Linked DNA regions of Arabidopsis thaliana. The protein of the gene in region 2 interacts with the protein of the main gene of each other region in a pairwise test. Each region holds a gene or a part of one and is shown on either strand. Other genes may lie near its edges. The genes, in order: AT1G21790, AT2G25520 and CYP94B3.

The links.
Region 1: the proteins of AT2G25520 (region 2) and AT1G21790 interact in a two-hybrid assay, tested with the Arabidopsis thaliana proteins (one large-scale study listed by BioGRID).
Region 3: the proteins of AT2G25520 (region 2) and CYP94B3 interact in a two-hybrid assay, tested with the Arabidopsis thaliana proteins (one large-scale study listed by BioGRID).

The regions. Positions count from the first base shown.
Region 1 is NC_003070.9:7,647,261-7,658,131, forward strand, and holds AT1G21790 (TRAM, LAG1 and CLN8 (TLC) lipid-sensing domain containing protein), read left to right. Parts: upstream 1-6,827; 5' UTR 6,828-7,096; coding exon 7,097-7,355; intron 7,356-7,632; coding exon 7,633-7,910; intron 7,911-8,101; coding exon 8,102-8,431; 3' UTR 8,432-8,721; downstream 8,722-10,871. Other genes in the region: PDIL1-1 (PDI-like 1-1), read left to right, coding at 293-430, 527-764, 856-968, 1,045-1,254; FBP7 (F-box protein 7), read left to right, coding at 2,252-2,261, 2,460-2,543, 2,636-2,748, 2,843-3,056, 3,191-3,264, 3,359-3,412, 3,508-3,615, 3,704-3,762 and 2 more; AT1G21770 (Acyl-CoA N-acyltransferases (NAT) superfamily protein), read right to left, coding at 4,583-4,666, 4,738-4,989; AT1G21780 (BTB/POZ domain-containing protein), read left to right, coding at 5,216-5,328, 5,408-5,553, 5,794-5,909, 6,001-6,606; AT1G21810 (filament-like protein (DUF869)), read right to left, coding at 9,318-9,704, 9,791-10,871.
Region 2 is NC_003071.7:10,855,981-10,866,851, reverse strand, and holds AT2G25520 (Drug/metabolite transporter superfamily protein), read right to left. Parts: upstream 6,185-10,871; 5' UTR 5,903-6,184; coding exon 4,859-5,902; 3' UTR 4,442-4,858; downstream 1-4,441. Other genes in the region: AT2G25530 (AFG1-like ATPase family protein), read right to left, coding at 255-338, 413-554, 959-1,086, 1,162-1,324, 1,405-1,526, 1,610-1,732, 1,876-1,986, 2,246-2,503 and 6 more; AT2G25510 (uncharacterized protein), read right to left, coding at 9,769-10,080.
Region 3 is NC_003074.8:17,972,790-17,983,660, forward strand, and holds CYP94B3 (cytochrome P450, family 94, subfamily B, polypeptide 3), read right to left. Parts: upstream 3,986-10,871; 5' UTR 3,836-3,985; coding exon 2,315-3,835; 3' UTR 2,064-2,314; downstream 1-2,063. UniProt on the Arabidopsis thaliana protein: Hydroxylase involved in the oxidation of the plant hormone jasmonoyl-L-isoleucine (JA-Ile), a bioactive phytohormone of the jasmonate-mediated signaling pathway. Converts JA-Ile to 12-hydroxy-JA-Ile.

The DNA.
Region 1 (10,871 bases), on a different chromosome or scaffold from region 2:
TCAAATATCTCAATTCCATTATGCTGTAACCAGTTCATGATATACTACATAGATGGATTCATATTATGCCATTTAATTTTACTGGAGAATTATGTTTAAATTTATGAAAATTCTGAAATGAGTTTATTTGTAAAAGTTGATATTTCGTACTAAATTATGTTATGGCTATGGAAGGAGCTGCGAGTGTGTGCCATATTAGCTGAGTCGGACTCTAGTGTCTATAATTTACTTTTTGAATATTCTCAGTAAAAGCTTCAAGAATCCTCAGTCTCTGCAATATTTTGATTTTCAGGCGATGTTGTTCATTAACTTCACTGGAGAAGGAGCTGAGTCTCTTAAATCAAAGTACCGTGAAGTTGCTACATCCAACAAGGGACAGGGTCTTAGCTTCCTTCTAGGTGATGCTGAGAACAGCCAAGGTGCATTCCAGGTTAGTCTTATTCTTCTATCTTCAATCGTTTATCTCCAAGGTAGCATTGGTTTCAAATTGCTGAACACATTTCTCTCCTTTCTAAACCATTAACAGTACTTTGGACTCGAAGAGAGCCAAGTTCCTCTCATCATCATCCAGACTGCTGACGACAAGAAATACCTGAAAACAAATGTTGAGGTTGACCAGATTGAATCATGGGTCAAGGACTTCAAGGATGGAAAAATTGCTCCCCACAAAAAATCTCAACCTATCCCAGCCGAAAACAACGAGCCAGTGAAGGTTGTTGTTTCTGACAGCCTTGACGACATTGTCTTAAACTCTGGAAAGAACGGTGAGTTACTTTACATTGTTAAATCACAAATACCTGTTTGCTCGTAGCAAAAACTTATAAATCAGTTTTCATTCCTCCTATTTACTTGCAGTTTTGCTTGAATTCTATGCTCCATGGTGTGGACACTGCCAAAAGCTTGCTCCAATCTTGGACGAAGTTGCTGTGTCGTACCAAAGCGACTCAAGTGTAGTCATCGCTAAGCTAGTAAGTCCTTTCTCTTTCTTCACATTTGAGAGTATTTGTTCTTGATCACCGGATTCTTACTCTTTCACTTGTCCAGGATGCAACCGCAAACGACTTCCCAAAAGATACCTTTGATGTGAAGGGATTCCCGACCATTTACTTCAAATCAGCGAGCGGAAACGTTGTGGTTTACGAAGGAGACAGGACAAAGGAAGATTTCATAAGCTTCGTCGACAAGAACAAGGACACAGTTGGAGAGCCTAAGAAGGAGGAAGAGACAACTGAGGAAGTCAAGGATGAGCTCTGAAAAGAGAAGTGTGTTGTGTCTCTTAGCTGCTAGCTTAGTTTGGTAGTTTTGAGGAAAATACACAGAAGAAGACAGAGCATTGAGTAGACTGAGAGACAGAGAGAGAGAGACGACAGACAGACAGAGAGAATCTCTTTATCTATTCATTAGGTTTTTATATGTGCACTCTTCAGAACAATAATGGCTGCCTCCTTTTCTTTTTTTTGGTTGATGTTACCTTTTTTTGTTTGAATTCAGTTCTCCTTTAATATAGTTTTTGAGGCATTTCTTGGGACGAGTTCTAACACTAAAAATATATTAATTCTGAAGCATATACCAAGATAATATACTAGTTGACTCTTAATTGGTTCCACTATTTGAAAAGAAAACAAAAGGCTAATTTGGTTGTTGAGGAAAGTATGAGAGAAAGGAAACTCAAGCAGATCGTCGAGGAGATCAAACGTTACTTTTACTGTCCAAGCGTTTATCAACATTTACAATTTTATTGACTTGTTCAACATGCTTGTTCCTTTTTTGGTCCTAATACTTTCAGTTTTTTCACTAAACAATCTAATGGAAGAACGAGAAACAGTTAAACTAAACCAATTGGTTAAAGATATTGAAACCGACCTTGAACTGATTTAACTCAGAAATGTCGGTTTCGTTGTTTGTCTGAATTTTGTGAACCTCGAGAAAACAATAAAATAATATTAAAAAAAAGACAGAGAAAGAGTCTCTGTTTCTATCTTCTTCTTTTTTTTTCCCGGTAACAGGGAGCTCGCACGGGCGGCTACGAAATCGCTGTATTTTCAAATCGTCTCTCAGTTTCCATGACTTCAGGTATTGCAATCTTGGATTCAATTTTATTAATTTTGACGAATTGAATCAGATCAATACATGACACCGAGAACAGATCAATTTTGAGAAATTTTCTCTGTTGATTAAACTTTCTCTATATTTTCATTCAAAAATCATTATGATGGGAACCGTTTGGCTTTGAGTATCCTTCGAAACTCGTATGATTGGAGGTGAAAATAATTTAGAGATTGATCTGGTAGTCTCGTGAATGTGTTCAATTACAAAATTGAGAAACGAAAGGTTTTTAATTTATTCATATTGAACTTGTATTGATGCTATCACTGAGTTTCAAGGTGAAATTGTGAGCTATTTATTGATTCTTTTGTGAAAGAAAGAAACTTGATTTCATTGGTGCTTGTTTGTCACAGATGCTCTCACTATACCATCTGAGCTTGAATCTGCCTTGCGGCTCAGGACTGTACAATACTTTATTACAAAAAGGCCTTGGCTTGGTACATCTCTAATCATTTAACACTCATTCTCTTGTCTGTTTTCATCTTATCAAGAATTGGGTTTATGGTTTGTAATGAGTTACATTTTACAGATCTTTATGGAGTCCATGTGAGGCCTGTGCCACCATTCGGAAGTACAAGCCGTAAACCTCATTTTGATCCAGCTTTGATTCATCGTTGCTTGCCTGATGAGCTTCTTTTCGAGGTTGGAGCTTTCTTTATACTATGTTTTGTCATTGTACTGAAATTTGTTTTTCTTATGTACTGGAGAAGTTGATTCTTGGATATGTTACTTGTAGGTGTTTGCTCGGATGATGCCTTATGACTTAGGTAGAGCATCTTGTGTTTGTAGAAAGTGGAGGTACACAGTTCGAAACCCTATGTTCTGGCGTAATGCCTGCTTGAAAGCTTGGCAGACTGCTGGGGTTATCGAAAACTATAAGATCTTGCAGTCTAAATATGATGGATCATGGAGGAAAATGTGGCTTCTTAGATCCAGAGTTCGTACTGATGGTAATCTTTCTTTCTTCATCCTCTTGCTTCACGACATTCTAGCGCCAAGTGATTGTTTTCTTTTGTATGCTCTGACTAACATCGTGTCTTGTTATATCTTTATTGATTAAAGTAACTATGTATCTTCTTCTCAGGTCTTTATGTGAGTAGGAATACTTACATTCGAGCTGGAATTGCTGAGTGGAAGATTACAAATCCAGTTCACATTGTAAAGTCTTTGTCTTTTTCTTTCTTTTCTTCTTCATCTGTCCAATACAGACACATATAATAATCTGCGTCTTCTTTTGGAAAATTTGTTGCAGGTTTGTTACTACCGCTACATAAGGTTCTACCCTTCTGGCAGATTTCTTTACAAGGTTTGCACTCTTCGATATAAGTAGGTATAAACGTTGAGCTACTGGTGGGATCTAGTCTGATAATGATCCATCCGTATTTGTTGTTATTCCTTCAGAACTCTTCACAGAAATTGAAGGATGTTGCCAAGTACATGAACTTTAAGGCTTCTAAATCTGAAAATCTTTACAAAGGCACTTATACACTGTCAATGTCGGATGATAAGGTTAGCTCCCTCTACTGCCTTTTGGCTGGTAATCAACAACATTACATCTTCATAATCCTGATTACTGAAAAACATGTTCTTTTTGCAGATCGAAGCAGCTGTTCTGTACCCAGGGACACGCCCTACTGTCTTAAGGATTCGTTTAAGGTACTTCAATCCCTCAAAATATGTGGATAGAGAAGACTTCTTTTTAGTAATAGCATTTAGAACCTTGGTCTGGCATTGGGAAGAAGGCCTGTTACTTATCTTTTAAAGTACCGTGTCTAGTACATTCATCTAAGACTTATCTGATCCGGTGAATGTGATGGGGTTGAAATTTTTAGTAGCTGATAGTCATTTTGATCTTCTTGGTGTGGATATGTTTTCGGGTGTGGTTAGGTTAAGAGGAACAGCTATTGGAGCGAATAACAGGATGGATTTGCTGTCACTTGTGACAAGTGGTGTGAACGATGAGGAAATAAGCAGCACAGAAGAAGACATTCTTGGGTTAGTTGAAGGTTGGGAAGACGATGAAACTCACAACCCGGATATACCTGCCGTCTCACACAAGAGGGGTATGACTGCATTCGTCTTCGTTCCTTTCGAAGAGGTAAGTAAACTATAAATTATTGTATACTCTTCCCACCTATAATCTTAGTTACATTGATTTGATCTGAATATCTTCCTTGATGTTATTAGGTTGACGAATCGGTTCTGAACTTGCCACCGGAGAAAATGGATTACTATGTCACTGGCTAAAGAGACACATCGAAGTTTCTGTACAAAAATGTATCATAGAATAATGTTTTCACGTTATATTTATTGTTACGACAAACATTAGTGTTTGTTTGTTGCTGTCGAATTGTGAAAAACATACATTTTGGGATTTTTGTTTGTTTACAGAGATTACTTGAAACAAGCTTTACTATTGTAAGATAATGTTTTCAAGTTTTTATTATACACCAAAAGGCTTTAAAGCAGGACTTGATCAGATGCTAGACTTGAGGTTCTTGGAATCATCCTCTGAGTGAACCAGACGCTGCCACGTTGGGTTTCGATGAAGAAACGTTTCCTGCAAAACACGACATATTTTCATAAGAATCTGATTCATCTCAATTTTTTGAGGAAAGAAGAGATGTATACGGAAACGTAGGAGCAAGTGGGGATGATGGAGAAAGAGTGTTCAGAGGCGTGTTCGAAAGCGGCGACGCATAGATGCGAAGCTAAACCAAGTCCTGCTTTTGACGGCGGTACGAAGGTTCGAACCAGATCCATGACTTTACCGTCATTCTTCATCTTGTACTCTATGAAGGCTTCGTGATCATCAGTCTCGAATCTATGTCTTCCTTCGTTCCACACGATCTTCGGTTTCTCCGTCGCCGTCCCCGTCGCCATTTTATCTGTTATCTCTCTAAGTCTAAGTCCACTCTCTTTCATTTCAAACCGAGAATTGATTTTAATATATCGTTAGTAAACCGGTTTAATGGATAAAAACGTATAATCGTCGTACACGTGGCAGGCGATGGAGGCGGCAGAGTGTTTTGCTTGCTTCGTCGTGTTATTTGGCGTGAAGTAAAGAGTTCAGAGAGAAAAGGAAGTCAAAACTTCAGAGAGAAAGTGGATGGGGGACACGAAGGTAGAGACAATCTCGAGGTTAGCTCAATGGAGAATTGAAAATTTTGGTCCTTGTTCTTTCAAAAAGTCCGATCCTTTCAAAGTCGGAATTTGGAATTGGTAAGCTTTTCATTTTTGGTTTATTTTGGTAAATTTTCTTCGGAATTTTGATTTTTGTTTGTTTTGGGATATGATGAAGGCATCTGTCTATAGAGAGGAATCGCTATCTATCAGTGAGGCTATTCCCAGAACTTTCTCGAGTATCTAAAGAGCAACCTCCTGTTGCCAAATTTGTTCTTCGTGTCTCCAACGTTGGCCCCAATCGTAGATTCTACATCTCTCCTGGTATGTCTTGTCTTTGAATTGACTTTTCTGGATTTGGAATTTGAATTCTATTGTCGAGCTCGAATTAGGTATTTCAGGAAAGGGAATTACCTTTTATGTGGGAACTATATTCAATTATGTGGAATCTGAAAGATATTAATTTAGATGTTAATGATTGGCTGATGATTAGTAGTACCTTATGGGATGGTTACAACTGAATTAGGTTTGTTTAAGCTGAGATACTCTGTTTATTTGGTGCAGTTTATGAGAAGCTGCTGCGTACAACTGATGATTGTGTGTGGCATGTTGACTCCAGTTTCCACGGTCGATTCACCATTGATGTTGAGTTTCTTGATCTCAAAATCTGCCCTGTGAATGTAAGCTTAATGATTCTATTTATACTCTCACAATTTCTTCTCTTTGTAACATTTGTACTTCCATGGTTGATCAAATCAAATCATAATCCAGGGTGGTGAAGCTTCTCCTGTTTGGCCAACCGATGCAACAATGCAATCAATCTCTACTCAAACCACTCTCAAATGCTTATCCCGGATGCTAGAGGAAAGCATACTAACCGATGTAATCATCCACACAGCCGATGGAACACTCTCTGCTCACAAAGCTATCCTCTCAGCTAGCTCAACTGTTTTCAAAAGCATGTTCCACCACGACCTCATGGAAAAGGAATCATCCACAATCCACATAGACGACATGTCGAGAGAATCTTGCATGGCTCTACTAAGTTACCTCTACGGAAACATAACCCAAGAAGAGTTCTGGAAACACAGGCTCGCCCTCCTCGGCGCTGCAAACAAGTACGACATAACGGATTTGAAAGCAGCCTGCGAGGAGAGCCTAATGGAAGATATAAACTCGAGTAATGTGCTCGAGAGGCTACAAGAAGCTTGGCTTTATCAGCTGGAGAAACTGAAGAAAGGGTGTTTGATGTATTTGTTTGATTTCGGAAAGATTTATGATGTCAGAGAAGAAATCAGCAGTTTCTTCAGGCAAGCTGATCGAGAACTGATGCTGGAGATGTTTCAAGAGGTTTTGTCTGTGTGGAAACCGGTCTAATATACACTTACACACATACTTTGAACATTTCAGCTTGATGGTGTTTTGTTTATAGTCTTCTTGTTCTCTTCTGTGTGTGTAACTAACAACAACTCTGGATTTTGTTGTATCACTCTGTCTAATGTATAGTATTGAGTGGATTTGCCTCTAGTTTGGTGTACCGAGCCTCTCAAATGGGCCGAGCCTTTCAAATGGGCTGTGACTAGGCCTAATGACTGTCGACATCGAATGTCGGCACAAAATATGATAATTTTGTCGATGTTGAAATCGTACGTTTTTTGTTTTAATTAGATGAGTCAGCATCAGGAGGATGAAGTATCGACCGACACGTGTCCGTTGCGTCCCAAAGTAAAGCTTATAACGTGAAGGCATTTGTATCGTCTCTTCCGCCAAAATTGGAAATGGATATCGAAGTTTGAGCTAAGAATCCAATTTAGGGTTAACTTTGCCGGATTCTCAAGCAATCTCCGAGAGAGACAGTGAGGTTTCGATGGCGAGGAACGGGATTGGGAGTTCAGGAGGGAAGAAGAATGGGGCTGGGCAGTTTTTCTTAGCGACGCTGCTTCTTTGGCTTGTCTCCGTCGTGTTTGAGATTGCTTTCAATCTCCGGACGGAGCTTCTCTGGGTGATTTGCGGTGGATGCTTCTTTCAATTGATGAATTGGGTTGTTCGTTCATGGATTTCTCGTGACCCTATATTTGTTAATACCTCTGTCTCGCTTTTGCACTCAATCATCACCTCCGCATCAGGTCCCTTTCTCTCTTCTCTTATATTTGAGTTCTTACTATAGGATTGTGCTCTGTTAGTGGGGAAATTTTATCATAGGTGTGCACATTGGTCGTTGGTATTAGTCAATTTTCCTTTGGTGCTGTGTTTTCACGGTTTCATTGCTTAATGTGATTCTTATTTCCGATTGGATTAGTCTTATGATTGATTGCCATAGCTTGAGTATAATGCAGTTCTTTCTTCGTTAAGCCTTACTGATTATGATTTTTCATCTTCAACACTGCTCTTGTGTTACTACAGTGGTTTTCATACTTCTCAATCAATGCTTAGCCAAAGGTTTAGACGAGATGTTTGATCATTCTGAGTTGGTTGGTGGGACTTGGAAATGGGCATATCCAGCTTTGTGTTTCTCATGCGGCTACTTTGCATATGACCAGTGGGATATGCTTCAGTACCGGTTATACAGCGGCTTAATACCTTCTATTCTTGTTCACCATCTAGTCCTCCTTGTTTGCTTCACATTGGCACTATACCGAAATGTAACCATCAACTACCTTATTCTTACTCTCATCTGTGAGGTACGTTCCACTTTTTTCTTCCTGAAAACTTGCCCTGGCTTTTCTCTGTTCTTTACCGAATCTATGCTAACATTCTCTAGTTAAACTAGACTAGTTTCATATATAACAATCTAGTTAGATATAGACTCAACTCTACAACATCTACTTGTTCGAACAAAAGTGACACCTCTGTTATTCGGATGTGTAAACAGATGCATTCGATCTTTCTACACGTGAGGAAGCTAAGGAGAATGGCAGGAATCCGAGACAGCAACACAGCATTGGTGAAACTGGAGTGGGTATTAAACTGGACAGCCTTTGTGTTTGCGAGATGCATTCCTCACATTCTCATCACTATCAAGCTGATCAAAGACGCACACAAGTTTGGGAAAGGCGTGGAGTTACCACTCGCTCTGTCTGGTATGGCAGGAATGAACATTCTTAATGTTGGCCTCGGGTTGGATCTGTTTCATGCTTTCAGAAGAGAGAGAAGCCACAGAAGAAACCAAGAGAACGGCAACCTTCACGACCATGGAGAATAATAGCTAATTTAGAGGCAATCCATTACCGAATCTATGGTTTGTTGTTGTATGAATACTACCCACTCATCTCTTGTTTATATCTGAGGCTTTGCTACTAAGTTCTAATAGCTTTCAGATTTGTATGTATCTCTCTATAGGAAAACTACATGTAAATGTTATTTCTTGATGATTACAGTCAACAGACTTTTTTTCTTCTTGTGTTTGGGGAAACGGAACCAAATTAGAATTTTGGTTTGATCTTTGGTTGTGATTTATATATCATAATCATTATATAAAAGTTAATCTTAATGAACTTTGGTTTATTCAGTTAAATTTTGGTATAATCTTTTCAATCTATTAGGAAAGTTTGTTTAGTGTTGAGTTGATGAAGTTTGGTCCGGTTCAGTTTCCACCAATGTTTGGAAGAAAAAAAAATGCAAGAGCATGAGAGGTCCTACCGGGAGTCGAACCCAGGTCGCTGGATTCAAAGTCCAGAGTGCTAACCACTACACCATAGAACCTCAGGTGCTTGTTCTGTTGCATGTACCAGTTTAGAATCTAATCCAAAATATTGTATTTTAGACACGACCAATGAATAGATTCAACATCAGCAGTTCAGCAGCACCACAGATTGCAGTTTTCTTTGTCTTTATCTAACCAAACAAAACAAAAATCAATATTTTACTTGGTGACAATGCATCATATGAGACCATCAAACTGGTGACAGTGAAATAACAAAGATGAATCTCACAAGACATAAACGTTAAGAAGATTACACTATGTAGCAAAAGAAACAAGGGTGATCTTTTTGCTACTAACAAGTCAGAATCTGAAAATTATGGTAAGAAATCCAGCTTAACAACAGATTGATTCTAGCTATACTCCAAGAACGAACCTATTGCTTCTCCTAAATCCCCAAATTTACTGAGTTTCTACTTCGAGTGAAAACCGTGGCAAATCCGTTGCGATTCTTCTCAGAACTCCCTCGGTTTGATGACATAATTAATGACACTGTTGTTGAGTCCGAAGAAGATGAACAAGGAGGTGAGGTCTTGTTATTGCTGTTCTGGATTGCAAGAAACTCAAGTGATCTTCCATTGATTGTTTTGATGCACTCATGAGGATCTTTTCCTAACAAAGCTTCCTTGTTGTGAACTGACCTTGCAGAACCTGGAATGCTAGCTGTATCGATCAAGAATTCTTCTAGTGTTGCAAGAGATTGTAGCTGTTTCCCAAGTGATGCTATTGTTTTCTGACAATCTGCAAATTTTCCTGCAGCTGTTGCTATGTCTTCCTGCAATAGAATCAGCTTTTAGTGAAACAAGGATTAAGAAAAAGAAAAAAAGACTAATTGGTGATCAGAAAAATAAAAAGCTATACCTGTTTGATCTTTGGTTCCACTTTTTCTCTCTTGATCATTGTCTTCTCTTCTATCTCTCTTCTAAGCTCTTCTTCAAATGTCTCACACTTTTCCTTTAGCCCATCAGAGACAATCCTCTCCTTTCTCACCTCTGCTTCCATTCTGGTCACCCGAGATTCGGCTTGTGTTTTCGATTCATTAGCTAGTTTAAGCTCCCTTTTCATCGCTTCCAACTTCATCTCAACTTCTTGAAAACAAACTCTAGATTCTTGATATTGATCTTTAATTACGTCAAAAGATATCTTTAGCTCAGCTTTCTCAGCTTCCATCTTCTCCAACTCATCTTCCATCTCAATTTTGTCACCAACTACAGCTTCGAGTTCTAAGCTGAATCTCTTCTCTGCTTCTTTACAACAAATAACTTCACTGTCAAGCTCATCCTTTTCTGCTTGTAGCTTCTCCAACTTTGTGTCAACTTCTTGAAAACAAACTCTTGACTCTTGATATTTATCTTTGAGCACGTCAAAAGATGTCTTTAGCTCAGCTTTCTCAGCTTCCACCCTCTTTAACATATCTTCCAACTCCATTTTGTCACCAACAACTGCTTCAATCTCTAAGCTCAATCTCTTTTCCGCTTCTCTACAACATTTAACTTCTCTTTCAAGATCATCCTTTTCTGCTTGTATCTTCTCCAACTTCTCCATTAAGCTCAATTCATATCCATCCTTGGAGTTTTTAGCCTGTGTCTCAGTAGGAAGAGCCACAAGACGTTCCATCTCAAGGAAATCATCCATGAGATCAATTTCAGTTGATGAAGTAGTGCCCTGAAGACTTCTATTGCCGCCTTTTTCATTCTTGATTTGATCTAACTCAGAAATAAATGCTGATGATGCCCATGAATCAGAGCAACTCCCCTCAACTCTCTCCCTTCCTCCATCTGAATGACTATCCACAGATTGATTAGATGATAGCGATGATGATGTTTTAGCCAAAATCCTAAGCTTCCTGCACTCAGCTTCGAGTTTCGCCAACTTCTTTATGATGTCTAAATGCTGCTTACTAGCAGTTTCTGCTGCTTGAGTGCTCAAGTCCCTCTCAATC
Region 2 (10,871 bases):
TATTAGTTTAAGTGATTTAAGATTTACGATAAATGCGATTAGTCTAAACATAAAAAGCTATAAAAAAAGTTACTCACAGTGCAGACGTTTTTGTGATGGAACATCAAAAACAAAATAACATTTTTATTCATGAATGGCCTTAGTATAAAGGCAAAAGACCAAAGCTTTTGGTTGGTCACTTCTGCTCGAACAATAATCACAGTAGAAAAAATAATGGCTCAAAATAAGTCAACTGTTCATTTGTTATTTGTGCATTACTTCTGCTGATGGAAGTAAGGATGCAAGAAACGAACTCCTTCAAGGTACAACGGAGTCTGCATCTCAATTAACCGAGACGCCTGCACCGATCAACATAATTAACCAAAGTAGTTTTTTGGATGAAAAGAATATTAGGAACTGAGAAATGACTTACAGCTCGAGCAAAAGCAAACATTTCCTCTTCACCAGAAAGCATTGATACGATCGAAGAAGGCGAGCCAGCTGCACTTATGCTACCTTCTGCAAGCACATCTCGCCTTAATCTTGAATCTTCCGTCTCTGTCTCAAACTGGAAGCTGCAAGTTTTTTATGTGATAACCACACAAAGTAAACCATCTTGGTGCAATTTAAAGGATTGGCATATAAACAAACTGAATCAAAATGATGAAGCCGAAACCAAATCAAAATGATCAAGCCGATACCATATCGAACTGTGTTTATAATCCTATTGGTTATATTACTTTAAAGCTGATACCAAACAAAAACTGATTCTAGTGTAATCGGATTGGCATATGTAAATCAAACTGAATCATAATGATTAAGCCAAAACCAAATCGAAATGATAAAACCATTACTGAGTCAAAATGAATCTAAAACGAACCAAATTTCACCTAAAAACAAACAGAAATAAAGACCGGGAAACCCACTAAACCTGAACAGAATCATACCGTAAACCAGATTGTCAATTATGTGTTCTTACCTTTCCAGGTCAAAGAGCGTTCCCTCTGCAGTTCCTTGAAACAACTCATCAATTGCTGTCTCCGCGCTTGAGACAAGACAACAATGATGGTTGTATAACTCATCTACAAGGGTTATAAACCTACGTGCCTGATAACATCAAAAGTCCTTAAGAGGAAGGAATCAGCAAACATCAAAAGCCATAAATCTTGATTTTAGTTATACCTTGTCGCGTATCTCCATGCTCATTGCTGGAATATCAGATATAAAAATTGTATGATAGTTTTTGGCCACTGCGATATAATCTGCTGCACCTACCGGTCGACCACATAGATACTCGAATGTGAACCTTGCCACTCCACTACAGCTTTCAGGAACTTCCACTGTTCTGATGATACACACACAACAAAGACCATTATGGTTTGATTTAACCCATCAAAAAAGAAAAACCATTGCTATCATTAGTACCTTCCAAACATCACTGGGAGAGTCGCCGAAGTTATTTCTCCACCGTACTGGTCAGTGACCTGACGCCACATTTTCTCAAATTCTTCCAGAACAGCATCATTCAAAGGCCATAAGTAGTGAACCTATAAATGGACGTTTAAAATTTCGTCAACAGAAGCAAAAAAGAACACAACATTAAACGATGTAAAGAGTCTGTGATTCACACATTTTCAGCCGAATTTTTTGCTGCAACTCGGCGGTAATCTACTTCACTTCCAATTGAGATTATTTCACAATGTTTCTCCAATTTAGAGATAAACTTATCAAATATCTCCTTCTGCATTCCGTCCTGTACCAACAACATTAGCAAGAAAATTAGTGGCTCAGCGCAAAAACTCTGTGTAATCAATATACATGTCCTTCATGAAATCAGTTAAAGAGACCTCTTTGCTGAAAATAGAAGAGGGCTTAACGAGGAAAAGAAAAGGAAACCTGATTCAACTCCCGTGGTGCTCGGTTACTGGTGGCCACAAGAACAGTTCCAGTAGTCAACAATCTGCTCATAATTCCAGATAAGGCCACAATAGCAAATACATCAACTGTCTGTAACAGAAGATGCAAGAAATTCCAAGTTATGGGAAGATTGAACACTATTTGCAATGGCATATGAGACCAAAACTAAGCAAGTCCAGTCTCATCTAAGCCCTCGTAGAACACTGAATTGGCTTTATGACTTTTTGAGTGATAAGCAATTAGCGAGCCTAGTTTTTATCACTTAATAACTATCTCATAATCAATATATATGCTTAGAAGAATGAATTATATGCTATAGTTTCTTTTCTAATTCCATATATACAGTTACCTGAATCTCATCAAAGCAGAGGATGCTAGCTCCTTTTTTACTCGATTGCTGATCAACGAGAAACTTATCAGCCACAGCTGGAAGAATGTGTTTCATTTGGAGTTGCTGCTTATAAAATTCTTCTCCTGCTAGCCATTCCTTAACTTTTTCATCAACAGGAAGATTCATAATCCAGCTCGAAATGCTATATTGCATTGGCTTCTCAGCACCATTCTCCTTCCAATACTTGTGCATTTGTTCATTTATCTTCAGCATAGCCTACAAAGAAAGAAATGGAAAATATATTGAGTTTGAATTAATTTGAAAGAAGAACCGCTAAAGGCTCACTCACCTCATGAAAGTGAAACCGTTGTCTATGTCTAATGATCCCATCAGTAGCACCATAAAACATATCCATCAACATAGTCTTGCCTACATGAAAACACACCAAACATTGTCTTAAATACCTAACCATATTAGCTACACGGTAAGATCATAATGTAGCATCCATTAACATACCACATCCTACATTTCCATAGATATATAATCCTTTTGGAGCTGGTGGTACCGCGGGACGAGAACCGACAATCGAGTCCAATTTTCTCTCTCGGTTAAGGTACGATACCCATTTACCAACTCCAGGTTCTACATTCATCTGTCTCCGCCTAAAACACACGAAAGAAAACAAAACCATTTGAAAAAACTAACAAACAAATATTCAACTAAAAAAAGAAGCCATTGACAAAAACCTCACCCTAATACCCATCTTCCCAAAAGCTTTTGTCCCTGCTTATTCACAGATGCCCACATTCCATCATCTTCCTTCTTCTCAGCTTCTTCCACCATTAGCTTTCTTCGTTCCTCCTCTCTCTTCTTCTCCCACTCTGCTAATCTCACCTAAACACCGAAATGTTACACATCTATATGCAAACAATTGAACCAAATTGTTACACTATTTGCAATTTACATGATAATCCTCCATTTGCTTCTCGAAATGTTCCAATCTTCCAAACAAATTTTCGAATGCCGAAACAACTTTCTCTTGGTATGGATCATGTTGTAACCTCCCTTGCTCCACTAACTTAGAGTAATTCGTCAGTGGACCTGATAAAGGAGCGACATTAATCTCAATTGCATAATTCTCAACGAATTGAAGATTCTGAAAGTACCTGATGGTTGTTTGGGAGGATCAGAGGTGGAATAGGAACGAGCAACGAAGTGTAAGCCATTGGAGAGTCTTCTTTTACAAGAAAACGCTAGACGTAGAACAGTAGAGATCTGAGAAACATTAGGCATAATTTGTTGCTTCAGACTCCGATTGTGGTTTCTTCTCTGGAGACTAGCTTTACGATCACGGTTTAGCTACTGTTCCGGAGAAGAATTTAGAACGGTATTAATAGGTGTCGACGTGACGAACTATAAGAGAGCCACGTGGTGGAATATGGACCGTTTGTCGTATTGCTGATTTGGCTTATTAGTGTCCGTGTAGATTTCTTTAGTGGGTTTGGTAGAGATGTCAAAACTAGGATGCCAAATCTGCCAAACCCGATGTGGTCCGGTCCGTGACATGTATGATGTATCTGCATTTCGTTTGGTGCAGCCTAATTTGGACTAATAAAGTTTCGTCCGAGTCTAGAATACTACTGCCTGATATGTAGTAGATTCAAACAAAAAAAAGATATGTAGGAACTATGAGCTAGTTATAAGATTCCAGTTGAAATCAAACAAAACTGGTTTGTTAAGTTTTGGAATTTGATAGGATATAACCCAAATCCAAAAACAATTCTGCCAAGAGGTAGGATGGCTATTCAAAGTCACATTTCACAAAGTGACAAACCAAGCACCAATGCATGCTTATGAATTCTGTTCTGGAACAAAACAGCTTTTATGCCAAGCGAGAGTAGATCCGAATTGTGTTAAAAGTTCCCAAATATTCGCTGATGAGAAATCCATAACCCGTGAGCCTGTTTGAATGTTTTTAGTTTGGTATCTAACACCTATTTGGCCTGTCCCTTTACTCAGGACAGAAACTTGTTGAGACTAAAGGAAGGATATTTGTAGAGGTTAAATGAGACCATTGTATTCATATGATGGTGTCATGTGTCATATTATTGCAAGGGAACGTCGGTATGGGTATTTTGTTTATTTCCTTAAATTGTGGATCTTGCTACTAAATGATCCTACATAACCCATAAAATATCAAAAAGTTTTTGGTGTTGACCATCTTCTTGTGCCTTCCAACATACAACGGTTTCATTGGATAAAGAGAGACGTAAAAGGGACTTTCAATTTGACATTTAACAATCTCAATGGAGGGAAAAAATATAAAGAAGTACTACTAAAACAATTGTTACCCACAAAGATAGATTCATGAGGAAGTAAGAAACAAAATACAACTCAAAAGAAGAAGATACAATGGAGTTCAAAAGATTCATGAACCTCTAATTAAACACCCATCCATCACTATGTAATATAATCAGCCATAACTTAAAAATATAATCGCAAAACTAAAACGTAGACGAACGAACACCGACAATGATAATCATACCTATGAAAATGCAAAATCCATCTTCCCAAATCATTCTAACCTTGAAGCTCTTATTTCCTGAAATTGCATTCTTGAATCAGAACAGATCAATCTTGGGTTTCGTTGCGTTTAGCTTCACTTTCCCTCTCTTCCAAAAGCTTCCCAGCTTCGTCATCACTTGCCTGAACCTTCTTCTGTGCATCTTTAGCCTTCAACGCCTGTAACTTGCAGTGATTGTAATATCCAACACCCAAAAAGGCAAGTCCATAACCAAACAGATTGATAGGTGTGACCGTGTCCTTAATCACCGACCACGAGAATGCAATCAAGAGCCAATCCTTAACCACACCAGCCACATTCATAGTCAAAGCAGAGGTTTTCCCAACGAGCAAGAACACAGCAAGATTCAAAGCAAACGCACAAACAGAATTGGTTCCAAAGATCACGAAATCGAAATGGAAACTCGAAGTATCTCTAAGAACTGGAAACTCCACAAAGATCCAAGGAACAGAGAGGAAAACCAAACAACAAGGAGCAACGTAATAGAGAGAAGTGATTGGATTTAGATTGATTCCTTTAGAAGTAAGCAAGATCTGAATCAAAACCAACCTAGTGGCTTCAAAAGCAACAGCACCAAGCTGAAGAAAAACACCCCAACCATCAAACTTAGCTTCACCATAAGCAGCAATAGCAACACCAAACGAGATCGAAAGCATGTTAGTCATAGTCTGAGATTTGAAAGTCTCTTTCTTCAACAAAACCCCGATTGAGTAAACTGCTACAGGCATTAGGGCTTTGAGCATTTGAATGAAGGAAACAGAGAGGTAGATGTAAGCAGAGTTTGATAACCAGAGAGAAAGTGAGTACAACGCGCCGATTGGTACGACGGATCTGAGATAAGTCTCGCGTGACATTGAAACAGGCTCGACGACTTTGAAGACTTTGATGAGAATCACAGCTAAGGAAGAGCAAAAACCCATGTGGATCATGGTGAGAGTTATTGGGAATGGCCAATTATACATCTTCTTGTCGAGGATGTATTTGTTGTAGACGATGACTGTGAAGCTGAGGAAGATCCAGATTGCGACATAGGTGTATGAAAGGATGATCTTTTTGATCACTCCGTCGGAAAGTGCACGACCTTTCCCCATGGCGGTGGGTTTGTTTTCGCCGGAGAAGAAGATGGTGGTGGTGGTGCGCAGGATAAAGGATTAAGAGAGAGAGGTGCGCACGATAGAAGTCTCTCTCTCTTTGGGTCAATGTTTTTGGGTTTGGGGGAGAAAGAGACTTTGAGTTTGGTCTTGTAATGTAGAGGAAGGGCTTACGTGACTTTGTTATGCTACGTGGCGAAAAGGTGCGCGATTATTTGACGATTGGCGTATTGTGGGACCCGCATTTTTAATCATCTGTTTTCTAGTGGATTTATACTTAGTCTTTAAATTATGAAATAAATGTAACAAATGTTTTGTTTTGAACTCTTTTTTTAGTCAATTACGTTTTGTTAATTTCTCTAGGGTTTTTTAATATTGCGGAAAACTCACAGAAAGGAACACAATTTTACCTTAACTAATTTAGTAAAAATTAAATATTTGTATATCTTAACACTAAATAACGTCATTTTTGTTATAAAATTAATAAGCCAGTTATTTAGATAAAGTATGTGATGATGTATGTTTCCTGAAACGGCTTTTAGTCGAAACTCTTTAAGTTTACGTTGCCTTAAATTAATGACGAATCCCTAAAGCTATTAGTTAGAGACTTAAGAGTAATTAAATGGAAACTTGTAACGAAGAGAGTATGCGAAGTAAATAAATGGGAGAGAGTAACGATGAAACAAAGAGTCAACGTTTAAATTAGAGCGCGTGAATCTCACATCGCGACAGTTTTGCTGCGTCCCTCTTACGTTGCATTATTGGTGCCTTGGTGGTGGTGCTAATGTAGTTGTCGCAACGTTTGTTGGGTTACTTCGGGTCCAGAGTCCAGACGGGGTTTGTTGACCGACTCAGTACTTGTACAAATACCTGTCAAAATCTTGTCTTTCGCTCGCCTGATAAAATATTATTTGGTTTTGATTGTGGAATTATTCTGTTCAAAACTTCAAATGATTCAAACACTCAAAAGTCAAAACAAAAGCTTCTGGTGTAGAGACATTACAATATTTTTTTTCGACCATACATTTTCTATTAAATATATCATTTATTTGGTGTTGCCTAATCTGAAAGTTTAAATTTACAAAAAAAAAAGTTAGTAATAAATCTATAAATTAAAACGACTAAAATAATTTGGTATCTTATCATTCGTCTGAATACATATACCAAATTCAAAGTGAGATTATAAATTTTTCAAAACCGTTTCATGTGACAAGAGACTTTTTGGAAATCCCACGCCAAAGTTACAAAGGAACATTATTTATTTTGTAACTACAGTAACGTTTGCAAAAATAAATAAATTATCCGTAGTTACTACTTTCGGAACATTTGTTTTACGAAGAGTCTGACTGTCACATGGACAGCATTTCACCGATTACGTGACGTGCGAGGAAGTCATGTGGCCATATATAAAGTAGCTACTAACTTCCCATGTTCTGCACGCCAATTGCAAAAATACTTCTACTAATGTTTAACCAATACAGGCATATAGCGAATGAATCTTTTGCAAAGAAAGAAAAGAAACATTTTAGGAGGGAAAAATAAGTTTGTAGCAAACCGATTATGCAGTTACATTTACATTTCTCCCTTAATATTTATCTACTTTGTTTCTCTTTTACAGAGACATCATTTAGAATTTATAAATTATAATTACTAATAAGGGAAGCAAAGTTAATGAATAGAGACAAAACAAGAAACAGAGAGCTAGTAACGATAGAGAGAACGAAACAAACGATTCAGCCCGAGAGAACGAAACAAAAGTGGCGGATATGATAACATCAAAGTCGATCATTTTTTTAATTTCCGTTTTAAGGTGATTTTAGTTATTGAGTACTTATTATTATTATGATCTAATAAGTGCACAACTGCTTGCTTAGTAACTAGTAGTTCTGGTTACTTGAAATACAGGCTAATTGGTAATTCAAAATACGTAAAGTAACAAATATTATTTTTATCAGTTACATGCAAGTATGCAATCATATCTGATAGTATTTATCAACCGCGGACCCAATAGTACAAGCAGAAGTAAAACCTTCACCTAAACGAATCACCGTATAAAGTGGCATCCCCATAATTAAAACCGTGGACATTATTCATATAAATAACAAAAATAAGATACTGAATTAGTCGTGTCATAAGCCAGATACCAAAGCCGGATTCAACTGGAAACTTAGACGGAACTCTGCCAGAAAAACCGTTCTTTAGAGAGAGAGCCCATTACATTTTTTTACCTTCAATGGAAGAGTGGAGACAGTATGGTTCTATTGCTAATGTGGAGGAACCGTATATTCTTCTTCTCCATTCGTCATTTTATTAACAAAAGCTTGTTTCTTATATTTAAATATAAAAAAATTATATGAACCACATGTTGTTCAGTTTTGTGACAAAATGAATGATCTGTACATATATTTTTTAGTGTTTCTAACTTGTTATGTGCGGTTCTTCCATTTTTCTTTTCTTTTTTACTGTTAACAATTAATATTGTCAGTTTATATAACTTTATTTGAGTTTTATATTAATGAGATTTTGAAAAAAAAAAAAAAAAGATTTTGAAAATAAACAAAATACTTTGGCTATATAAACTATCCTATGTTGGATAAAATTTTTTCCAAAAATATTAATAATGACCAAAATTAGTAATTAATATGCCCAAAATTATAGCCCTCTGTTTTTTTTTTTGTCAAAATTTTCATATTAATAAGGAAAATTTACTTAGATGCTATACAAATTAGGTATACTAGGGCGAAACTCGCGCCAAACCACTGGGTTTTTTTTTTAATGCAACTTTGTTAAATTGTATGTATGTATTGAAATTATTTGTCGTGACACAATATATTTGTTATTTTTTAATAATATCCATATAGGTCTTTTTTTTTTTTGTTGGTAGCCATGTGTTGATTTATGTTGTCTAGCATTATCAATATTTTGATTTTTACTTTTCGACATTATGAGTTCGTATTTCGTGAATACTTTGAATAAGTCTAAATTGCAAACAACTTAGTATATATGGACACAAATCATTGAGTGAGTAAATTTTATATCTTATGAGATTAGTATGATGAGAAATAAGAAGGGAGGATCCTTTCCCATATTTAGCAGGTCGGCAGCCAAATGACTTAGGACCCTCGAATAGTAAAAAAATAAGTCCCGAAAGGCCCAAAATAAGAGTATTAATTTATTTACTTACCAATAATCATTTCTCTAAAAAAACAAAAATTAATTTTATTTGCACATTTTTTTTTTCTTTCTACTGCACCAACAAATATCTTATATTTTAACCTTTATCTTATAATATACATATATAAAAGTGTTAAGAAGATGATATTTTTTTTAAAATCCCAACTTTGTTTTTTTAGCTATAACAAAATAATATTTATAATTTTTATAATTAATCAAATAAATCCTGTTTAAAAAAAAATTGTTTCAGCCCTCCGAAATATCAAAACCTGTCTATTTGGACCGATCGAGACTGAACCACCCCTTTTTAAAAAATGCTCATATGTCATTGCGAGTGGATTATAAACCTAAATCCCAATCCAATGTTTTATTTGAAACTTACGTCCAAAATTTTAAAACCTAAAAAACAAGTTAGATCAGTGTCCTTGGGTTTTTGATCTAAATTTATGTGTTTGATATACTTTTGTAACTAAATTAAATCTAAATAAATTAATTAATAAATGGAAACATGTTATTTTCATAGAAGAAAGAGTTAATGCATGATTTAATTATGGTGATGTGTGTCATCGCTCGAGAGACACCACATCTTTTATATATAGGATAATGGCCTTTGTGGTTTAGCATGTCTGAGTTTAAACGATCCAACGTAAGTAATTAAGAGGCGTTTTATAACACAAAAGGAAATACAAGTTTTATTTATTATAGCGGCCGTTCGACAAACTATAAAATATGACAAACACATGCATAGGTAAACAAAGACAGAAGCCACAAACCAAACCACAATGTAAGAAACATGCACACACACACGCATTCGAAGCTAGATTGAGGTCAATGACCAGGTTCGTTTGTGCCTTTGAAAGACCTCTGGGGCGGAGGAGGAGATAAATGAAGACGACTACATGTGCCTTTTCGAAGACATTCCGGAATAGGCGGATCTTTTGGCGTAGGGCGTATAACCTTAGGAATATATTTTGGCTTAATAGGAATAGTAAAGCGTGCATCATGGTAAGTCTTTTCTGCACCTACACCACCCGAAAAGCATTACATTATATATTACAGTGTCAATGTTTGATCATCTTTGTGCTCATTTGTCTATTCAAATGAGGAGAAATTCCAAAATTCAAACCAAAATCAGGATTAAACACAACTAATTAATAACGTAAAATGATACTAATGACCTCGGAACATCTAAAATACCAAAAGACTAACCTTGTTTCTGGGATTCCTCGTGTGCGCCTAGGGCTTTATCCATATGCGGAAACACAAGAAGAAGAAGGAGGAATAGAACCATAGTAGATGTCATCTTAATATTCCCTCTTATTTTGCTTATTAGTGTCACTCATGGTTATGCATTTATATAGGCTATACAGCAAATTATAAAAGAAATTTAAAGATATGGTGGATAATATAGAAAGGCTAAGAGACAAAGAAGATGAAGAAATCTGTGGACAGTCTAGCGAGAGACTTAAAAGCTTATAGTCATCGACGACTTAGTTGGATCACTTATTTTATGAGTCTCGAAGTTTTTGTTGTATTATTTGGTGAAAAGTCTTCAATAGCCAATTCGCCATATGATTTTAAAAGATCATTTTATATTCCTTATTTTCATATTTGTATTACTAATTATACTGGGTTAAGAACCCGATATTGCAGAGAACTCATTTTTAACAAATTTTTGTATTTACGTGTTATATTATAAAATAATATTTGTTTGTGATTATGTATTAAATTATTATGATATCTAAAATAATAATAACCTTTTTTAATATTAGACTTATTATTCGTTTTGATTTTT
Region 3 (10,871 bases), on a different chromosome or scaffold from region 2:
TACTTTCTAAAAGTAGAAAGCGGACAATCTCTTATCTTTAGAATATAAAAGAAATAACATATGCTTTTCATTTTTCAAAGATATTGATTACATAGGAAAGAAAACATTGATTACGTTCTATAATCTCACCTGCTGCTTTGATACCTAATTGTATAATTAATTAGTATCCGATACAGTAATAGTAGTACACAGTTCGCGTCGCCAACAGTTTTCGTAACAAATACTACTATAGTACTATCATCCGCAAATTAATTGATTATTAACTAATGAAACCAATGGAGATCGTCATTTAGTAATCACAAGTGAACTCAAGAGAACAAAAGCAGACATGTTCGACCAATGAAAACTAGCCAACCCGAAATAAGATATTTATTAGGGTTTAAAGAATTTGTGAGAATAGAAGAATTAGGTTCGTCTTGAAGGCCGTAAAAGTCCCAAAACCAAGAATCCTAACTTGGAAAAATGACGAAGTTGTTTGAGCCACGTGTGAGGACTGTAATCTGGTTGGTAGAACTAGGATGAGTCACCAAGCTAGTGTCCCCTGTAGGACAATAGCACTACTAGATAGATGTCTTTTACTCCAATTATACCAAAGTAGCCATGACTAGACCACTTCTCCATTTGTTTTTTATTTGATGTTCTACTCTCAAAACTAATAAAGGTTACCGGCCGTTTGATAGGCTTACTTTTACACACAGACATATCCACAAATTATGTGGTTATATACAATGGCGGTCCTAATGAAGATTGAGAAAAATTACTAGCACAATTGGCAAATTTTGGTTATTGAAAATTTTAAATGAACCTACTCACCTAGGTAATGATAGTATAATACTAAGGAAAATGTATTGGAGTGATGATTTTTGAAGACTTTTATTTTTTTTAACAAAATTCTGTTACTCAATTTATTATTTGCAAATGTCTTCCCAATCTGGTGTTATTGAACATATAATTCACTTAAAATAGTTTATAATAAATTACATCCCCTGTTTTTTATTCAATAGTTTATGGAAGTCATATAAAATTTGTTGTATTTTAAAATTTATGAATTTAGCTTATAATTTATAGAAACAATTGCTGGGTTTTGATATAGCAGATTAGCAGTTGGAGCAATAATTCAAAAGCTTATATAAGAGTTTTCAAATTATTGTGCGAAAACAATCTAGACTTTTTATTTGTTATTTGAATTATGTATTTTCTACTGTTTTCGAAATATGATCATACAAAGATGAGACGAAACATTTTAATAAAATCTTTGAAATGTTTCTAATTAATTAAAGAAAATATTTTTTCTAATTAATAAAAAATATATATATATATATTTTTTTAAAACCAATGGAGAAATAAAAATTTAGTATTTCCTTAAACAAATGATTTTGATATTAACTATTTTAACTATAAACTAATATATTCTAATTATAATTAAACAATTTTTACCCATAACTAATGACAATTAAAATAAATAAATGACTGATTTTGGACAATGTTCAAATGTTCTTCTCTTTTAAAAATATAAAGATAGATCATTGCTCGCTGAAAATTGTTGACAACTTGACATCTAAGCGATCGGTGTGTGCCTTTGTAAGTTAGGTTGATTCTACAGAGTGAGATTAACTCTGTGAACTAATAAAATTGTGGAGAATGAGAGAGTGATGAGATTTTTGAAGTAAGATGCGTATAATTATTTATACTACCTTGAAGGGTTTATTTGGGTTATAATTAGAATTGTATTGTGGTCTCTGTATAGTCTTGGGCTTTATATGTTGGGCTAAATATTGTTAATCCCACAAAAAACAAAAAATCCGACCTGCCGGAATCGAACCAGCGACCTAAAGATTTGCTGTCACAGACTACAGTCTTCCGCTCTACCAACTGAGCTAAGGTCGGATGCTGCAATACATTCGCTTTGTTTACTTTATTAACAAATGTTTACAACTAAGAATAAGCTACATGTCTACAACAATGCAAAAGAATTGACATTATAGACATTCTCATTGGTTTGGTTCTCACTGTTCACATTTCATTTAGCTTCAACATCTACATGGCCAGTTCCTAACTAGATTATTGATTTTTGGGCTTATTTGGTTATTTTCGGTTTGCTCAATCCAATTTGGTTTCGTTTGGGTCAGCGGCAAGACTACAAGCTCTATTTCTAACTCGATGCAAAAAATTATGTTTCAAGGAATTGAACCAAAACTTACCTGATTATATTCGGTTTTGGTATGTTTTACAAATTTATACAGATTGATTTCGCAGGCAGGAGTATTGCCACACTGATATTCTATATATAAATAACTCGTTTTTACATATTCTATTAAACGTTGTTAAGGATGTGACTTCTTCTCTTGATCTTCACCTTAAGCCCACCAGCCATATGAGCCGTTAAAAGAGGAACAAAAACCGGCCGGTCTTTGTTAACCGGCACAATCTCAAACCGACTCAAAACAGAACCAACGACGTATTTCATCTGCATAAATGCCATCTCTTTCCCTACACAAACCCTCGGCCCGGCTTGAAAAACCGGAAATTTGTAGGGACTAATAGGTTTCAAAACCGGTCGTGTACTCCCCGGTTCAGAATCAAACCACCGGTTCGGGTTAAACTCTTCTGAATCCGTACCCCATAGCGTCTCCATCCTCCCCATACCGTATGGGAAATAGGTCACTTTGTCTCCTCTCTTGACACGTGTCCCATCAGGCAAAACGTCGTCGTTTGCAGCATGTTTAGAGTCCCACGAAACTGGAGGATATAGCCTCATGGCTTCACATAGACAAGCCTTCGTGTAAGCCATCTCTTTCAAATCCTCAAACCCTAACCCTAAACTCACCAACGGGTCCACTTCTTCTAAAATCTTCCGCTCCACGTCATCGTTCTCAGTCAACAACCAAAACAGCCACGTCATCGCTGCTGACGTTGTATCTCTTCCCGCCATGATAAAACTAATAACCATGTCCCTCACTGCTTCGCCGTTGTGGCCGGCGGCTAGAAACCTCGACAAAAGATCTTGCTTTGCTTCTGCTCCGGTTCCGATCTCAAGACTCTTCTTCTTAGCTCTGACAATCTCAGAGACCAACACGTGCACGGTCCTGATCGCTTCCCTAAGCTTCCTCTCGCTTCCCACGTTCAACACACGCTTCGTTTTCCAAACAGCGTAAATAGGCTCCGTGGCACGGCGAGCACTAATCTCAGCAGCGGTGTCAAAAGCCTCCACAAGTGGATTAACGGGTCGGGTTAGATCCAAACAATCCGGATCCCAACCCAACGAGACTTTACAAACAACATCAAAAGCAAAACGTTTCAAAACATCTTGCAAATCCACGGTCGTACCAACATCAGCCGCCGTGGATAAAACCGGGACTAGACGGTTCTCCACTTCGTCTTTAAGAACCTCAAAAGCAAAACTCCTAAGCGAGCGAGTGGAGAACTCGTGGCTAGCGAGTTTGCGCTGCGAGCTCCATGAGTGACCGTCGACATTGAATATGCCTCCACCGAGAAGATCACCAAGAAGATCAGTAAAAGGTTTACCTTTAGGGAAGTTAAAGAAGTTTGTTTTGAGAATGTACTCGACGTTTAATGGGTTTGTTGTGATGATGGTGCGACGGTTGCCGAGGAGAGGAACTAAGATGGTTTGAGACGGAGAGAGACGGAGAAGCTCGGTGTACCATTGAAGAAGACGATGACGGTTTTTGTTGAAAGAGAGTATGGAGCCAATGAGTGGATACGATGGTGGTCCATATGTGGTGTTTTCTTGGACTTTTTTAGTTGAAGATGAAGATAAAAAGAAGATGATGGTTATAAGAAACGCTAGTATCAAAAAACTCAGAAGAAATGCCATATTGTTTAATTGTTTTTTGTTCTTGGTTTTTTTTTTGTGTTGGTGTGTTGGAAAGAGTTTGTGAATGTGCTTTTTATATTGCTAATTAAGTGTTTGTGTGTGTTCTTGGTGGGTATTGCGTGTGTGTATATAGAAAGGGAAAGGTGGCGGGTCCGGACCAATCTGTCCCGAAACATATCGCTTTTAGTATTAATTTGATTTCTTATATCACATTTTGATCGACGTAACACGGTATTATACTATTATGTGTCTACGGAGATATTATTTTATCTCCTTTTTTGTCTTTAGTGTAGCTGTATGTCACTGTTTCATTCCTTTTTTTAGTCTAATATATAGTATCTTTTTTTGAGAATTGTCCTAACGAAAATATAAATGTTTAGTCAGGCTATTTTGTCTCTTTTAGGATGACGATATTGTTTCGAGTTCCTAATACTGTAGTATAGATTTTCTCTTTTAGTGATAAGCTCCATCAGGATATTGAACTGTTAGTGTAACTGTGAGTATGTATCATCAAATGATTAATATTGTAATAAGCACATTGAACAACTTTCCTGAAAAAACCACATTTGTGTATAAGGAATTTATAAAATTAAAAAAAAAACAAAAAAAAAGAATTTATAAAATTAATAGGACATCAAACATTTCTTTTAATTAATTTATTCGTTTATTACATATTGTTTGGCTTACTTGACCCTTTATTTATCGCTCGTTTGCTATCTAAGCCGCTTTTGTGTTTCCTAATTTGACGTGTTGCAAACGCTTTGGCGACGCAGAAGTCCAAAGTTTTAGAACGTGGCATATCTCCGACAAAACCACGATAGAGACTATGACGCAAGGAAAATAGACCTATATTAAAGTAACTAAATTAATTATAGTGTACTTTGAATGGTTAACAAAAAAACTCAAATGATATACGACATCTCCATTAATGGTTACAATATTACGAAACATCCAAACATTATATTAATATTTGTTAGGTCAAAATTTGAATCGAACCGTGGTTTCTAGAATATAATACATGTATTAATGGTATAGTTGAAATTTGAATGGTAGCTTGAAAACATGAATTTCGCTCCGGCTTACAATATGTGTTAATAATCACTATTCTAATGTCTTAAAAATAATTAAGCGATTATACTTTTGATAAAATGGTCGGGTGTCAAATAAATCTGGAGGCGAAATGTAGAAAAGTAAACATTGAAAAGAAGAAAACAAATACTAGCAAGAGCCTGACAAAACTGTTCCCACTCGAACAAGAGCTATTCAATTGTGCACGTGTTTCTTTAGGCTTGAATTTAACCAGTAAAGTCAGTTTTATATGAGACGAAAGAAAGATGAACTTGATTTCAGCCACTCACGTTGTCGATACCGTCTTTTCTTGCTCGCACACAAAATAATTACGGAATTGAACAAAAATAACGGCGCCGTTCTATAAATTATATGAGCCAACATAATTGATTGGTAGCACGCAAAAAAAATGACTTAAGAAAAGGAACAACCGTTTTTTGTCTTCATGACTTCACCGTCCAAAGAACTCGTGGGTTATACAAGAGATATTTTTCCAGATGTATACAACATTTCGTTGTTGATGTTGTAATGTAATAGTTATACCAGATTTCTATGATAATTTTGACAAATAAAGGTTTCTATTTTTTTTTTTGAAAATTTTATTGTAAGTGGATGAGAAATTTCATAACTTATTTGATCAATAGACGCCAAAGCAGTGTAGAAAACAATTTTTGTGATCAATCACAATCTAGAATGCATGAGAAATTTATTAAAGTCTAATAGAGTCGGTGTAATAACTAATTACCTTGTTCTAAAACTAACATGATAAAATAAAATTCGTTTTAGCATATACTTACATCATGTTCAATATCAATTGTAAGCCAAATGAAAAGCAAAGAAAGGCAGAAGCAAAAAAACTTCACATAGCCTTTTAGCCTCAATCCATGACTTGTTTCTTGTTGTTGTTGTTGTTGAGTTATCTTCTTCCTCTCGACATGAACTCTATTAGCTTCTTCTTCTTTCCTTTCTTATGGTAAACGATCTTTTGCTTCACCTCTTCTCACGTCTTCTCACTTTTTCTTTTGCAAGTTTAATGAAATGTTTCAAGTTCAATAACAACTTCTTACGAAATTGAGCTCCGATTAGATTCAATTCAGCGTTAAGAACGATCGAAATGATGTTGCGAATGATCGATCTCAACTTATGCAAGATCAGAGAACAGAAAACGAAGAATAAAGACACACGATTTGTTTACCCGGTTCAGCAAGATCGGTGTGATCAAGCCTACATCCGGAGCCGAATCAATTCGGCAAATCCACTAAGCTTTATGAAGAGTACAACTAAAACCGAGCTTACAACAATGGTGATTCTCTCAAGTTCTCTCTCTCTCGATACAAGAAAACTTCAAAGAAGAAAACAGATGAAGAAGATGATAATCGTAACAGACTCTGTTACTCTTTGTATAATAGTCAAACCCTCCACTGCAGTTAGAGTCTTTGACTTCTCTTCTTTAATTTCCGGTTTAATCAGAAATCCCTTAACCAGAGATAACCGACTGCTTCAATCTTCAATTGACTTAACCAAACCAACTTCAGAGTTTGAATCAGATATAAACCAACAACACTCCACCTTGATTCAAATCTCTCCATAACTAGTGGACTTGCACTTACTTGGATTTCACCTTCGGCTGAGATGTCTTTCCACCTCACCTGAGTAGCTTTAGAAACTCTAAAGCTGACTCAAACTTCTGCACATGAATGCCTTTGGTAAGCATGTCTGCAGGATTCTGAGAAGTATGGATCTTAAGAACTTCAACACTTCCTTCTTCAATCACATCCCTGATAAAGTTGAACTTGATCGCAATATGTTTAGTTCTTTCATGGAACGTGTTGTTCTTTGCCAAACTGATTGCTGACTGTGAGTCACACCACAAAGTAACCTTCTCTTGCTTGAATCCCATTTCTGTTAACAACCCCTGAATCCACAAAGCTTCTTTCACTGCTTCAGTTAAAGCAACATACTCTGCTTCAGTGGTTGATAAAGCCACTATGCTCTGCAGATTTGACTTCCAACTTACTGTATTTCCACCAACAGTGAATACATAACCTGTTGTTGAACGCCTCCTGTCAAGGTCTGCTGCATAGTCAGAGTCACTAAAGCCTTGAACTCTGAAATCCTTTTCTCTGGTGAAAACCAGATTCAAATCTGTAGACCCTTTTAAGTATCTTAGCAACCATTTCACTGCAGTCCAATGAATCTTACCTGGTTTGCTCATAAACCTGCTTAGAACTCCAATAGCTTGAGCTATATCTGGTCTGGTGCCAACCATGGCATACATGATGCTGCCAATAGCACTTGAGTTTGGAACTTTATCAGTGTCCACACACTCTTCTTCCTCAACTACTGAGGCAAGTTTGAAATGTGCTCCCATAGGTGTGCTTACAGGTCTTGCTTCAGTCATATTAAACATGTGAAGCACTTTCTCTAAGTATCCTGTCTGAGACAACCGCAATGTACCTGCTTTTCTGTCTCTTATAATGTCGATTCCCAGTATTCGACTAGCTGCACCCATATCCTTCATTTCAAATCCTGTACTCAACGCCTCTTTGATCTTGTTGATTTCAGTCATTGACTTAGCTGCTATCAACATGTCATCAACGTATATCAGTATATACACAAACTCTTCATCACTCACCTGTTTTATGTAAACACACGAATCATGACCACTTCTGATAAAGTTCTGATCCATGATAAAAGAGTTAAACTTCTTGTTCCACTGACGTGGTGCTTGTTTTAACCCATAGAGTGACTTTTTTAACAAGCACACTTGATCCTTTTGTTCATCAGCAACATACCCTTCAGGTTGCTCCATGTAAAGTGGCTGGTCCAGATCACCATGCAAGAACGCAGTCTTAACATCCATTTGTTCCAATTCTAGATCTTCTTGAACAACAATAGACATCAAGATTCTTATCGACACATGCTTGACTACAGGTGCAAACACTTCATCATAGTCGATTCCTTTTCTCTGAGTAAAGCCTCTTGCTACTAGTCTGGCTTTGTATCTTTCAGGTTCCACACCGGGAATTCCTGGTTTCTTCTTGTACAGCCATCTACAACTGATGATTTTCTGATTCTTGGGATGGTCTACTATATCCCATGTATAGTTTTTCAATAGTGACTGCATTTCATCTCCCATTCCTGCATTCCATTTTTCCCACTCTTTGGTTTCTTTAGCTTCATGATAACAGCTAGGTTCTTCACTGCTGTCCATATCTTCAGCTGCCATAAGAGCATATGCAAATTGAGAGTAATCAGAGAATCTTATAGGTGCTCTGATTTGCCTTCTAACCCGATCTCTAGCTAACTGATAATTGCTCAGTCTTTCACTGCTTGCTGGAGCTTCTCCTTCGGGTTCAAAATACTCTGACTCATCATCACTAGATGAAACATCAACTGTTCCACCTGCAACAGAACTCTCACCAACCTGCTGTTGGTTACTTACTATTTCAGAGACAGTCTTTTCTGCTTGAGTAATCTTCTCTGCTCTTTCTTCTTGTTCAGACTTCTCTTTTAACTGCAAATCCTTATACACCAAGTCCTCATGAAATATCACATTTCGACTGATAACACATTTCATTTCTTCTAAGAGCCAGATCTTGTATCCCTTAGTGCCTTGCGGATAACCGAGGAACACACCTTTTAAAGCTCTTGGTTTAAGCTTTCCTTGATCTTGGTGTACATAAGCAACTGACCCAAACCTCCTTAAATGCTTGTACCCAGATTTCCTGTTTAACCACAACTCTTCAGGTACATTGTGATCCACTGCAAAAGCAGGTGACCTGTTCACCAGATATGCAACAGTTGAAGCAGCTTCAGCCCAGAATATTTCTTCAAGACCTGATTCACTCAAAAGACATCTCACTTTTTCCATAAGAGTTCTGTTCATTCTCTCTGCTACACCGTTCTGCTGAGGGGTATAAGCACATGTCCTGTGCCTTTCAATACCAAACTTCTTGAGGTAATCTTCAAATTTGGAATTACAAAACTCCAATCCATTATCTGTCCTGAGCACTTTAACCTTCTTTCACACCTGTGTTTCAACAAGTTCTTTCCACTCACAAAAACGGTCAAATGTCTCATCTTTAGATTTAAGAAACATAAGCCAAACCTTTCTTGTCTTACCATCAACAATAGACAGAAAATATTTCATACCTAAGAGTGATGGAGTTACATTTGGAGAGCCCCATAGGTCTGCATGAACGTATCCTAGAGCTTCCTCTGTGATGTGCTTGCTGACATTGAAGCTAAGCTTCTTGGATTTTCCCATTACACAGTGCTCACAGAACTCTAGTTCTTTGACATCGTTCTTTTGTAGCAGTCCCTTTCCAGCCAGTATCTTCATGTTGTTTAAACTCATATGGCCAAGTCTGCTATGCCATAATTCAGTACTGCTTTTAGTGTCTTCTGCATTAAAGCTCTCAGACATAATGGTCTCTCCATCCAGAACATACAGTCCATTGATTAAACGTCCAACTAATGCAGTTGCATTGTTCTTATGGTATCTCACTTTACCATCTCCACCTTCATGGTGATATCCCAGTTTATCTAGAGTGCCTGTTGAAATTAGATTTCGCCTGAGATTAGGCACATACTTGACATTCTTCAAGATTCTGATTGATCCACCATTTGCCTTAATCCGAATAGAACCTTGTCCCTGAGACTTAACTGTGTGATCGTCACCAAGAAGAATTGTTGTGCCATCATTCTCCTCAAAATCACTAAACCAGTCTCTTCTTGATGACATATGTGATGTGCATCCAGAGTCTAGTACCCACATGTCCTTGACCAATCTGTCACCAATGTTTAAGGCTTCAGAAACTTCTAGTTTCTCAATGATAACACCAGCCTCTCCTGGACCTTCACTTTCCAGTTTTCTTTTTTTAGCAAAACAATCTTTCTTCACATGACCTTCCTTTTTACAGAACCAGCAGGTGACCTTTGTTTTGGAATTAGATCTGCTCCTGCCTTTCCCTTTGTTTCCTTGCTGCTGAGACCTGTTTTGGGGTCTACCTCTTTCAGTTGTATACAACACAGTTGAAGAGCCTCTTTCAGACTCTTTAGATTCAGCAAGTTCATGTTCCAATGACTTAGCTGATGATACAACGTCCTGCACACAGAGAGTCTTGTTACCATACTTCAAAGTGTGCTTCAACTGGATATAACTCACAGGCAATGAATTCAAGATCAAGATTGCTTGCACTTCTTCAGCAACTACAATCTGCAGACTGCCAAGTTCAGCCACAATTCTTAAGAATTGATCAATGTTCTGATCAATACTCATTGTTTCAAGCATCTTGAATGAGTAAAGTCTAAGTTGAGTATAGATCCTGTTAGGCAGAGATGTTTCCATGTAGAGCTTGTTTAGCGTTGCCCACATATCAGCTGCAGATACACAATGCTGAACTTTAAGAAGAACCGCATCAGTAATGTGATTGATTATGATGTTCTTAGCTTGTTTCGATTGTTCAATCTTGATCAGATCTGGAACTTCTTCAGTCGGAGATGATTCTTCATCGGTTTCAGGTTTCTTTCCTTCACTCTTTGGGACTGGAACAAACTTTGTCAAAGAGTAATCCGTTAAAGTGTTCATCAAACCCAGAACTCCAAGTTGTGCTTCAATCCGAATCTTCCATAGAGAAAAGTCTCTATCTCCATTAAATGTCTTGATCTCTACCTTTGACGACATCGCCATTAACGCTATCGAAGCATCAAACCTCCTCAATTCAGAAACCAAGGCTCTGATACCACTTTGTTACGAAATTGAGCTCCGATTAGATTCAATTCAGCGTTAAGAACGATCGAAATGATGTTGCGAATGATCGATCTCAACTTATGCAAGATCAGAGAACAGAAAACGAAGAACAAAGACACACGATTTGTTTACCCGGTTCAGCAAGATCAGTGTGATCAAGCCTACATCCGGAGCCGAATCAATCCGGCAAATCCACTAAGCTTTATGAAGAGT